Linked DNA regions of Cricetulus griseus. The main gene of each other region encodes a partner of the protein of the gene in region 2 in a complex. Links are inferred from orthologs where the notes say so. Each region holds a gene or a part of one and is shown on either strand. Other genes may lie near its edges.

Evidence for each region.
Region 1: the proteins of Etfb (region 2) and Etfa are in contact, whole or in part, in a crystal structure (PDB 2A1U), measured with the Homo sapiens proteins. The link is inferred for Cricetulus griseus from reciprocal best matches to the Homo sapiens genes ETFB and ETFA. Residues at the interface, in NP_001976.1 of Homo sapiens: Ile14, Tyr16, Val18, Ile20, Val22, Val29, Thr31, Phe41, Leu102, Arg106, Lys124, Gln125, Ile127, Asp128, Asp129, Asp130, Cys131, Asn132, Gln133, Gln136, Met137, Ala139, Gly140, Phe141, Asp143, Trp144, Pro145, Gln146, Thr148, Phe149; in NP_000117.1 of Homo sapiens: Glu27, Leu88, Pro89, Glu90, Ser113, Ala114, Phe115, Lys117, Asn118, Pro121, Arg122, Ala124, Ala125, Lys126, Glu128, Val129, Ala130, Pro131, Ile132, Ser133, Arg146, Thr147, Ile148, Tyr149, Ala150, Gly151, Asn152, Ala153, Leu154, Cys155.
Region 3: the proteins of Etfb (region 2) and Acadm are in contact, whole or in part, in a crystal structure (PDB 2A1T), measured with the Homo sapiens proteins. The link is inferred for Cricetulus griseus from reciprocal best matches to the Homo sapiens genes ETFB and ACADM. Residues at the interface, in NP_001976.1 of Homo sapiens: Glu73, Arg76, Thr77, Tyr192, Ala193, Thr194, Leu195, Pro196, Ile198, Met199, Lys202; in NP_000007.1 of Homo sapiens: Glu43, Gln44, Lys46, Glu47, Phe48, Thr51, Lys54, Phe55, Glu58, Glu59, Arg80, Glu83, Leu84, Gly85, Leu86, Leu98, Leu100, Ile108.

Annotation. Positions count from the first base shown.
Region 1 is NC_048597.1:167,107,380-167,110,889, forward strand, and holds part of Etfa (electron transfer flavoprotein subunit alpha, mitochondrial), read right to left. Parts: coding exon 3,428-3,510; intron 2,669-3,427; coding exon 2,567-2,668; intron 1,133-2,566; coding exon 1,064-1,132; intron 1-1,063. UniProt on the Homo sapiens protein: Heterodimeric electron transfer flavoprotein that accepts electrons from several mitochondrial dehydrogenases, including acyl-CoA dehydrogenases, glutaryl-CoA and sarcosine dehydrogenase.
Region 2 is NC_048599.1:152,602,727-152,606,897, forward strand, and holds the start of Etfb (electron transfer flavoprotein subunit beta), read left to right. Parts: upstream 1-1,370; coding exon 1,371-1,427; intron 1,428-4,171. Other genes in the region: Cldnd2 (claudin domain-containing protein 2), read left to right, coding at 240-359, 588-661. UniProt on the Homo sapiens protein: Heterodimeric electron transfer flavoprotein that accepts electrons from several mitochondrial dehydrogenases, including acyl-CoA dehydrogenases, glutaryl-CoA and sarcosine dehydrogenase.
Region 3 is NW_023276806.1:5,452,571-5,456,519, reverse strand, and holds the start of Acadm (medium-chain specific acyl-CoA dehydrogenase, mitochondrial), read right to left. Parts: upstream 2,801-3,949; 5' UTR 2,733-2,800; coding exon 2,694-2,732; intron 142-2,693; coding exon 54-141; intron 1-53. UniProt on the Homo sapiens protein: Medium-chain specific acyl-CoA dehydrogenase is one of the acyl-CoA dehydrogenases that catalyze the first step of mitochondrial fatty acid beta-oxidation, an aerobic process breaking down fatty acids into acetyl-CoA and allowing the production of energy from fats.

The DNA.
Region 1 (3,510 bases), on a different chromosome or scaffold from region 2:
TGCTGTATAAACCACACCTGTTCTTTTCTCCCAACTCCACATTATACCCATCTTCAGTTGTAGTTACTTTTTACTTTGCTTTGTATCATATTACTTGTATTTTTTAGAGTTGTCCCCTAGTTACTAGATATTTTATTGTTGTTTTCTAGCTCTTTTTTCTCTTTACTTTTTAGCTTTAAGCACATCTGTGGCATATCCTCAAATTCAGAGATTCTTTCCTCACTCCTTCCAGTTTTCTATGTTTATAAGATGCAGTCATTTCTGCTACCATGGATTTTTTTTTAAAAAAAATCTTTTTTTAAAAAAAAATCATTTTTTCCAGTACACACATACATACATATGTATGTATGTATGTGAATATATATATATATATATATATATATATATATATAGGAAAGTACATTTATATATAGTCATACAGGAATCAGAGCATGTGAGGAGGTTGAAGAACAGCTAATAAGAGGTCTGCAGAAGGCTCTGAAGGTGGCATTTTAGTACTTTAAAAATCAAAACTAGATAGATTCCCAAGGCTTGGCAAAAGTAAAACTGCCACATACTCTTTAAAAATTACTAGGAAACCCCCCTTTAATGAGATGTTTCAGCATTTATTGGAGGTCTAAGAAAACCACTGCAGAAAGAATAAAATAATGGTCAAAACTGGAAGTCATGTTAAGCAAAATAAGTCAGATGCTGAAAAGCAAATATCTTATGCTTTCTCTCATGCAGAATCCAGTTTTAAAAAAAATAAAGACATGGAAATCACAGGGGAACTACATGGAAAGAGAAGGAGGAAAAAGAAGGAAGAAAAGAAACAAGTAATCACGGGAAAAATGACCAAATGATGTGATGTACATCAATAGAAATGCCACAACCAAATGCTATTTTGTATAATTGATAAATGATAACAAAGCTGAGTTGATAAATAAACAAAATAAAAACTGAAAACCATAGAAAGCAAACTAATGTGACTTATATATATATGGAGGACTTATATATAAATGAAACAATGAAAAACATTTCCAGCATAAAGAAAGCATTCTGGTACAAAGGAAGATGCCTTTACCTGCAGCGTGCAGTTGATCTGCCAGATCGTACAGTAGCTTAAAGTTCTCCCCACTCTTCAAGCCCCGACCTCATTAAAAAAGATAAAAGAAATTAGGTATATACAAGTTTCACTCTGTAAAATGTTTGCCATTTTATATGCCCAACTGAAAGCCCATATTACAAACTGCTGCATTAAAAATATTACCTTCTCTACAAAGCCTTTTCTGACATCTATGAAGCAGTCAGCATTGCAATTAATTAACTACATAAAGAACACTGTAATGTTTGCTGTTTCTCCACTACAATGAAAACACTTTCTAAGTTCAAGATGCAAAATCCACTATTCTCTAGGTCACTGCTCTATCTGTGATATTAGCAAACTCTGACAAGAACTTGGTAAATATTCCCTGCATGACTGAATGGAAGTTCCTCCTAGATTTCAAACTCCTTAAGAGCAAATACATTCTAATTTTTTATTTTTATTTCTCCAGAAAATGAAAATGCATCAGGCCCATCACAGAACAGATATGGACTAATATTTGCTAAATATACAAACCAATAAACAAGATAAACATCTTTGCAAAATATTAAACCGCTCCCTCTGAATACCTCTTGAGCAATAGATGGCTGTTGGGAACATTAACTATTTTGTTTAATGTTTAATTTGGAAAGATTTTAAAAATCACATCATTCCTTAACTTCTCAAAAAGTCAGTCAACATATTATAAAGGACAATACATAAAAAGAGGTAAGTGTTATGCCACACTCAGGCCCTGACATTAACTGTAAAGGGCGTCCTAAGTGTCATCCACAAAGACCTGTATAATCCTGAAAGCCCTTGAAAGTAGAATGGGGCAGGGGGTTTATATACAACTTCAAGATTACAACCACTTTCCCCACTATTCAGAAGCAATCAAATGCCATAGAAAAACACAGAAGTCTGTAAAATAAAAACACCATGTGGCAGAGGTGTGGAATGAGATTTGTGCCCTGTTCCCCAGATGCCATCAACAAATGTGTGACAGTAAGCCCAAATTTTGTATTATTGTCATAATTTCATATTCCTGATAAAATATGACTAATACTTGCAACTTACCAACTGCTGACATTTGGAAAGAAAAATTAAGTGGCTGTAGAGATGGCTCAGTGGTAAGAGCACTGGCTGCTCTTCCAGAGGACCCAGGTTCAATTCCCAGCACCCACATGGCAACTCACAACTCTCAAAATTCCAGTTCCAGGGGACATGACACCCATGGCAAAACATCAATGGACATAAAATAAAAACAAATAAAATAAAATAAACCCACTGAAATGTAAAAAAATAAAAAAACCCTCAAAACAAAATAGAAAAACCTATGCTCTAGACTACAGACTCAGCACAATAGTATAGAGCTTGCCTACCACATGCAAGACCCTGAGTTCCATTCCTAGCACCACCAAAAACTACATAAAAGCCTGTATTTTTTAAATGAAGTCTACAGGGTATAGCTTAAGTTATCTTTTAAATTACTACTGCACTTACCACCAGATACCACCACTTTGGCACCGGTTAATTCTGGTCGATCACTTTTTGTCAACTTCTGATCAAGCCACTCTGATATTCCCACTGGTGAAGAACTTGGTGCTGCACACATTGATCAATTAAATTAAAAAATGATAATGACTTCAAGTTATATAGTGATAATTATTTTTAAAACCAACACACAAACATCCAATTCTAGGAAATTTAAGTTCATAAATTTTCATGTTTCCAATTTAATTTTCTTTAATTATAAAGGTTTAAGAGGACAAGATTATTTTGGGAAGTCATTTGCTACTCCTAAATTCATCTGTCAAAACCAGAATAGCCAGGTGGTGGTACACACCTTTAATCCCAGCACTTGGGAGGCAGAGGCAGGCAGATCTCTCAGTTTGAGGCCAGCCTGGTCTACAGAGCGAGTTTCAGGACAGTCAGACCTATTACATAGAGAAACCCTGTCTTGAAAACAAACAAACAAAACAATCCCTAGAATAATCAATTCTCTCTAGTATTCAAATAACATGTCAGACATGTTAAATTGTGACCCCTATTATTACATTCTTCTATTATATTGAATCACTCAAATGTCACAATAGTAAACAATAATGAAAGTTAAAAAGTCCTAACACAAACATAACAGATTAATCTTAATTGATCTCTTTCCTACTCTTTCAATCTACCAAAATGATTATCCTTGTACCAAGAGGAAATGAAAGAGACATAAATTATAATTATTTACATAACCTTGGAATATGGGTCAGTTGAATTTTTACTTTGCACTAGAAATGAAACCAGAGGTCATCTCTTATTCTGACATAACCCACAGAAATGCCAGCCTATCAAAAGGCTCAAATGAGTACTTACCCTTTTCTGAACTAGCACTACCTCCACTTGTTGCTGCAGCCTCAAAAGATGTCCCTCGAACAGAAAACACCTTCACTCTCTCA
Region 2 (4,171 bases):
AAAACTGGTCGGGATGTATTGTACAAGGGAAGACTCTATTCTTAAAAAATAGAAAAGAAAAGAAAACGGGGAGTTGGGTGGGGTAGTTCACAAAAGTGGAGCCAAAGGGTAGCTGGGCTACCTTTGGACACCAGAGGCTGTTCTGAAGGGCGTGGTCTAGGCAATAGGGGTGGGCTTGGGTGCTGCCCCCCCCCCCCCCCCGCCTGGTCCCGCTCACCTGACCGGTGGGCGTGACTCAGGGCTGCTGCTGATGATTGCTTTGACGGGATACACTGCAAAGAATGCCTGGAAGCAAGAGGTCTTCTTCTCCTGGTCCTACTTTTTCGGATGGCTGGCTTTACCCTTCTCATTTCTTGCGGGTAACCAGCACAAGGGAAAGAGGGTGGAGATTACCCCTCTAGAGGACTCCCCGTCCCAGAAACTTCCCAGTCACCTGTTCTCCCAGGAAAGCCCAACACCCGCACTCCAGACTCCAGCACACCCGGTGGAGACACCCCTGGAGCCCCCATCCCTAGTCCTCAGGCAGGCCATGTCATCCGCCCCAGGACCCAACTTCCTCCACCGGCTCTGCACTCCCCTCCTGCCAGGCTTCTGCTTTCTGCTGGCGGACATGATCATGCAGAGCACCGAAGCCATCAGCGGGTTCCCAGTGTGCCTGTGAATGCAGCCTGACTGGGGCAGAATAAAGGAAAGGGTTTTAACGCCGGTCCTGCGTGCTTTTCTGAGGGACGCAGATAGGCGGGGGCACGGATACGGAGGGCGCGTGGAGAGTAAAGGGGGTCAGGAAGAATGCGGGCCGGTGGGAAGGGAGATCGGAAGGGACCTGGAGTGGACCCGGGGTGGGGGTGTGGGTCTCAGGAGACCTGGACGCAGGGAGAGGACATGGGGACGAGCCGACGCGGGGGAGTCACGGGGAAGGAAAGTGTAGATGCATAGATATCGAAGGAATCTACAGAAAGAACGCGGAGTTCCAGCAAGCAAAGGGCCATCGGGCATGGGGAAAAAGGCGTAGGGTGCGCGTGGGAACAGACACGGCGACTTGGAGTGAGAAAAAGAGAACCTGGATGTGAACTGCAAAGCTGAGGACAACAGAAGTATGGGGGGTGGGGAGTAGGATGAACACTCTCCCAGAAAATTTCACTCCTAGGGATGCCCTTTCCCCTACTTCTGCGCCACGCCCCCTCCACCCATCGGCCCGCCCTGGATCCCGCCTCTCTCCCTGAACTCCGTTTACCATTGGCTTCCTCTGGGCTGTGCGGCGGTTGACTGGTTGGTGGTGCGACGCGCAGGCGCAGAGAGACAGACGGGGCGGAGTGACCTGAGGTCTGGATTCATCGCTACCCGATCCGGCCGGTGACTGCTACAGGAAGATGGCGGAGCTGCGCGCGCTCGTGGCTGTCAAGAGGGTCATCGACTTCGCTGTGAAGGTGACTTTCCCCACCCCGACTCTGCCCCAGCACCTTGAGACCGCAGCTGTGAGCTTCCAGGATCAGGAGCGTACCCTGCCTGGGATCCTTCTCAAATTCTATAGCCCTTTGACCCAGTCAGTCATACCTGGAGCAAAGATCAAGGGCTGTGAGTTTCGGACAATCATATCCTTCTGGAGTCATGACCCCGCTTCCCTCTTTCTCAGTCCCTTGATAACTGTGGGCTGGAGGGTCCTAGTCCCTATTTAACACATGGGGAAACTAAGGCACAAAGTCACTTAGCAAGGGAGAAGCGGAATAGAGACTTGTGTGTAGGGCCTGTGATTCAGTCACTCATCCCTTTCCCGCCTGACTGCATTGCCTGCTCTGCAAGTACCCCACATGGGGAGCCATCTGGTTCCATGGGGCTCAGAAACTGCCTCACACACATTACCACGGGTTGCTTGAAGAAACTCTTGCTAGAAAGGGAAGGAGACTTTTGTTTGCTGGAGAAGCTAATGCAAAGGCGCCAGCTTGACAGACAGTGGAGGGAGGCTTAACCCTAACCCATGAGAGAGGTTTGAGGGCTGGACCCCAGAGGTCCTAGCTGGTATAGGCAGTTATGAATCAGACTGTTTCCCAGGCCAGTCTCTGTCAATGACTGGTCGAACTGAACTGGAATGAAAAAGATGGTGGCAGTTCACGTCTGTCCCCATCATACTGGGAATTCTCCCTCCGTGTCCTTCAAATTTCCTAGCATTCATAGCATAGGGTCTATGCACCCAAGAGACCTCCAAAATAGGTGAAAACTGGCTACAACATTGACATTAATACCGGCATCCCCATACCCCCACTGAGGAATACAGGCAACAGACTCAGATGTGAAATGGCCATGACCCTAACAGCAGACATTGAAGTGGGTACAAAGTACCAGCAGAAACAAGTCCTGTACAGAGACTATAATCTATTTGTACATCTTCTGTACTCTTAACCCCATAGAGCGGATGAGGAAACCTAGGCCTGTGGAGGCCTTGCTACAGATCCCCCCAGCTGGATAAGCTGCAAGAATCAGAAGTCCAGGCAAATCTGGCTCTCAGCCCATATGCTAGAGAGAAAACAGGATGGCTTGAGGATGCTTCTAGCAGCTCATGGCAGAGATGGTTTCCAGACTTACTGAGACATACATGGGTTCCTGGGACCCAACTCAACCACCATTTATTTGTTTGTTTATTGTGTCTGTGTGTGTTGATGGGGAATCAAATTCAGGACCTTCCAAATGCTAGGCCAGGCGAGTGCTGTACCACTGAGCTATAGTTCCAGTCCTTTTACTGTTTTATTTTTATAATTATTATTTGAAACAGGGTCCTTTTCCTTTAATATTTGTAAATGATTCATTTAATTTTTTTTATGTGCATTGGTGTTTTGCCTGTAGCTTGCATGTGTGAGGTTGTTGAATACCCTGAAGCTGGAGTTTGCAGACAATTGTGAGCTACCTTGTGGGTAGCCTAGGTCATCAGGAAGTGCAATCAGTGCTCTTAACCACTGAGTCATCTCTCCAGTCCCTAATTTATTTTTTTAATTATGTTTATGTGTATGGATATGCGCACATAAGTATAGATGCCCTTGAAAGCCAAAACAGGGTATCAGAGCCCCTGAAGCCATTGTTACAGGTGACTGTGAGCTGCCTGACAGGGTGTTGGGAACTGAACCTGGGTCCTTTAGAAGAGAACAAAGTGTTCCTAGCTGCTGAGCTATCTCCCCAGCCCCTAAGATTGTCTTATTTAGCCAGGCGTTGGTGGCGCATGCTTTTAATCCCAGCACTCAGGAGGCAGAGGCAGGCGGATCTCTGTGAGTTCGAGGCCAGCTTGGTCTCCAGAGCGAGTGCCAGGATAGGCTCCAAAGCTGCACAGAGAAACCCTGTCTCAAAAAATAAAAAACAAAACAAAACAAACAAACAAACAAAAGACTGTCTTATTTAGTACAGGTTGGCCTGGAACTCACTATATCGAGGATGACCTTGAAACCCTGATCTTCCTGCCTCCACATCCTTAGTGCTGGAATTACAAATGTGTACTACCATGCCTGTGTCTCTGAGTTTTATTCTGAGGTGTTTAATTGCCCAGGCTGGGCTTAGACTCCCATCCCCAGCCTCTCAGCTGGGCTTGATGCTTGGCCTATAGCACCACACCCAGCATCCTCACCACCTTGAATTGGCTCTAATCCCAGCACCACCCAGTCAGAACGTGGCCCATGGTCATTTCTGGTATTTCCAGTGAGAACTGAGAGCTAAGAGGTGAACACAGCATGGTGTCTGCTGCTCTCCTTTCCTCAGGGTCGGTGGCGCTTCTCCTTCACACTCCGGCATGCAGGGCTTCCTACTTCATATCCAATGTCTGCTGGTACTCCCTTCAGGGGAGGCAGTGAGTTAGACTTCGAGAGCGACCTAATCACTTGGGCCAGACTTAGGCACCATTCTTTCTCTTATCCCACAACCTCCCAGGAATTGTCAGTTCTCAGCCCCAATCCTAATACACTATGGTTTCCTTTCCAGCCCCAGGCCCAAGACCCCAGGTCCCAGCCCATTGGCCCCTGTTCCACTTAAACCCGAGATCCGGCCTGGCCCCTGTATTATTGGGCTCTCTCCTTCAGCCCTTTCTCATCCAGCCTTAGGGACTTCCTACATGCAGGACTGACCTTGTCTTGCCCTTTTCGGTGTTCTGTGGCTCCCCAGCACTCTCAGTATAAAGTCCTTGGGCTGGCTTTGG
Region 3 (3,949 bases), on a different chromosome or scaffold from region 2:
AAACATATTGCAAACATATATTTTCAAGTCAAAGGACAGGACATAACACATACCAAAATTAAACCCTAATCCTGGCTCCTGCTTGACAGATGTTTTCGTGTGTTGTGCTCGCCACTCGAAATGAGAAAGACTTCTTAGGACCTGGAAAAGATACGTGTATCACAATTAAGTCTGATAAGCTGAGTATCAATCAAACGAAAGAACACTGGCTGGGCCACTGATGACCTAAGATTGATCCCTGGGAGTCACTTGGTGGGAGGAAACTGACTGCCACTATTGACACCTAACCTCCACACCTACTCTGCACTCTGAGAGTCTCACACAGACATACCCTGGCACAAATAAATTATTTATACTGACCATCCAAAATGAGCACAGCATATATATGGTCACATTCAAGAGCTACGTTTTTATAGTCAGTAACCAAATACTTAAAGTTATAATTCAAAAGTAAATTACAAGCTAGATGGACACCTATCCACAGAAGAAAATGCTATTTAGTTTGGTTTTATTTTCACTTATGTGTTTGTCTACATATATGTGTGGGAAAGGCCAGAGGAGGGTGTGGAATGCCCTGGAGTTGGAGTTATGGACAGTTGTGAGCCACCCACGTCAGTGCTGGGAAGCAAACTTGGGTCCTTGGCAAGAGTAGCAATACTGAAAAACAACAAACAAACAAGAAAACAAACCATTATCAGTTGGGTGTGTATGTCCCTGAAGGCAGTTTTTTTGTTGCTACTAAAGTTTGTTTTATTTTTGAGGCCAGGTCTCAGTGTATAGCCACAGCTGACCTGGAAACTCACTCCAGGCTGGCCTTGAACCCCCAGGGATCCACCTGCCTCTCACTCCGGAGTACAGGGTTAAAGGCATGCGCCACCACTCCAGGCCCTAATAATTGGTTTTGTGTTTGTTTTAGGACAAATTCTTTTGAGGTAGTTCAGGATGGCCCCAAGCCCACTGTGGAATCCAGGCTGGCCTTGGGATCCTAATTCTTCTGCCTCCACTTGAGATTAGATGAAGATCACCTGTCTACAAAATTGGAGTGGAGGCCCCAGGGCTGGGCTGGTTAAGTATTGATATTAGTCATTTAATTAGAGTAGCTTAACACACGGGCCTCTAATTGGTTGTGCAGGATGAGCAGGGTGTGTGTGTGTGTGTGTGTGGTAGCTTTGCAGAAACAGAATAAACAAAGAACACTGGGTTAAGAAGCTAGTGTTGCAACACTGAGTGCAAGATTCACAAATGTCCATCTCAGAACGGTTCCAAATACACAACTTATATTAGTTATGATAAAGCTTGAGGGGGACCTTGCATGGGGAACCTTGAGGATTCCTTGGCAGTCGAGGGTGACTTAGGGGGACAAACACGCCAGGCAGACAGAGCTTAGTGAGAAGTTTCATTAGAAAGGTAGTGGGGGGTGGGGGGAAGGAAAGAGAAAAGGAAGAGACATGGGGACAGAGAGGGCAGCAGAGAAGAGGGAGACAGGAAAAGTCCTGTCTGCCCCAGGGGAACAGCAGGAAAGAAAGGGAAAGAGAGCACAAGTGGGCGGGTCTGTCTTTTAAAAGAGTCCTTTGCAGCTGGGCTGACCAGGTCACTGCCAGAGTGCATCTGTCAGGTGACAGGGGCAGGCCAGCAGTGTTCCCGAATCCTTACTGTATTCACACCTGGAAAACGGGGCTCACTATCCTGGTGGATGACTGGAGATGATTAAGATAAGACAGCCAGGCTTGGAAGATAGGTAGCAGTGTTTGGAAGGAAGAGAAGCTGTGAGCTCTGGACCAGCCTGGATATAAATAAGCAACAAATACGATGTTCTCAAATTCTAGTCATAATACTGTGTTTAAATTATTCCCGGTTCAAAAAAAAACTGTCCAAAAGCAGCAGAATTCCACATATGGGAACAACCAGTAACTTTAGTTCTCAAATCTACAAGAGCACAACTAAATAACGAAATTTCTTAGACATTTAAGTCTGGGTTTACAGCGGCGTGGGAAAAGATATAAAAATGTGACACGTTTTCTGATTAGTTATGGGGTTGCACTTTCCTTCACTTGCCCTTGGAGGGACCAGGAAGCCTTTAGTTCTGTCGTTAAGAATTAAAACTAATGTAAAAAGCCCTGCAAGTTCTGTTTTTAGAGCCTGTTAACTTATATCTAATCAGTACCATAATGAAATCACTGTAAATTCTAGTATTACGTCTTTTTGTGGGGTTAGAGGCAATTTTAATCCAGTTTCAGGTGGCAGAAATGGAAGGCCTGTACGAGTACATCGATATTGTTTAAGATGCCAGAGAATCTAGCGACTAAACAGACTTCGGAGGACAACGCTGGAGGGCACAGACACAGATGTTCTTCCGCAGGTTCTGCCTTCTCCCTTGAGTTTTTGGAAGCCTGCCGGTGCATTACAAAACCTCCGGCGTTCCCTTCGGCTAGGATTAGTTCTGAGCCGCTCACCCGGGATCCTAACACCTTTGCTCACCCGAAGCTGCGGAACCACACACCTTTTGACGCCTTCCGCGTGGGGCTGCAGCCAGAGTTTTCTGCAAGAACTCCCGGCTGCCAGAGCGGGTTCGGGACCCCGGCTGCCCCGCCTTCGGGAAGGGTGGATGAGGATAGGGGTCCGCGCAGGCCCCCGCCCGCCCTCCCTCCCGCTCCCGCTCCGGCTCCCGCTCCGGCTGGCGCTCCGGCTCGCACCCCGCTCACCCCGCAGCCTCTGCGGAACGCAGCTGCCATGATGACTCCGCGCTCGCCCGCCTCGACCACCGCACACAAACTACTGAGCGCCTCCGCCTGGGGCCCCGCCCACAGGGGCGTGGCGTGGAGCTCGGGGCGGGGCCATAGGGGCGGGGCCTTCGCGGAAATGTGGGGCGTGGCAGGGCGACTCAACAGACCCACTGAATCTTGGCTAGGCAGGGGCGTGGCCCGCCCTGGCAGAAGGCCTCGGGGGCGTGGTCGTGGCGGCAGACTGGGGGTGTCAGGCGCTTCTGGGGTCTGGGCCGGTGCCCGAAGAGGGAGGGGCCCAGGTTCTCGCGCGCCTGCGCTGTGCACGCGACCTTGGCTCGGGCTGGGCTGTCTGCCTCCGGGCACCGGCTCCCCGAGGTCGCGTCCTCCGGGCAGTGTCCCCCCCAGAGCTGGCCGGGCTCCATCCGGGCCAGAGGGCGCAGCTGTGACCTTTACTCGGAGAGTCAGATCCACCGACTTGCACTCTGTGGCTTCAGTGTGTGCTCAGCTCCCAACGCTGCACTGGAGCGAGAGGATGCCCGCGCCTCTGACATTTTAAATAGGAACGCAATCGCTTGCGCACTGCCAGGACACTGAGAAGGAAGATTACCCTGAGTTTGAGGCCAGCCAGAGCTAAGTAGCAAGATCCAACTCCTAAACAAACCAAAGCAAAACAGCTTCAATGACTTGTACTTTTCTGAACATGCTCAGGGTTACTTCTTGTCCATCCACGTGTGTGTGTGTGTGTGTGTGTGTGTGTGTGTGTGTGTGTGTGTGTGTGTGTGTGTGTAAAGTATCCTTGGACACGCAAGCTGAGCCCATCTAAAAGCTCCCCTGCCAGTGAGCATTGGGAGTAAACATTTTGTTCACGAGTTCAGCTCAAAGTCTTCCAGTTAGACCTAGGGCCTGAGATGGTGGCTGGGGTGTTATGGAGGTGAGGGATAATAAACTTCTCTGTGTTGGACACCTCAGTTGCCAAAGATTAAGGAAAATGTGCTGTCAGAGGCCTCTTGCTTTCTGCTTCAAATAAGCAGAGTGGAGACAGGAACTTATTTTGGAGCCACTAATGAATGGCGAAAAATTCTCAGCTACTCTCTGCCTTGCCTGTAGCATTATCCAACACACCAAAGCCTGTAAATGGTGGTGTGGATTTCATTGTGAGATAAATAGTCCAATCAACAAGATTAATAATAATAACAGTCTTTCCGGAGAAAGTCTTCTAATAGTTC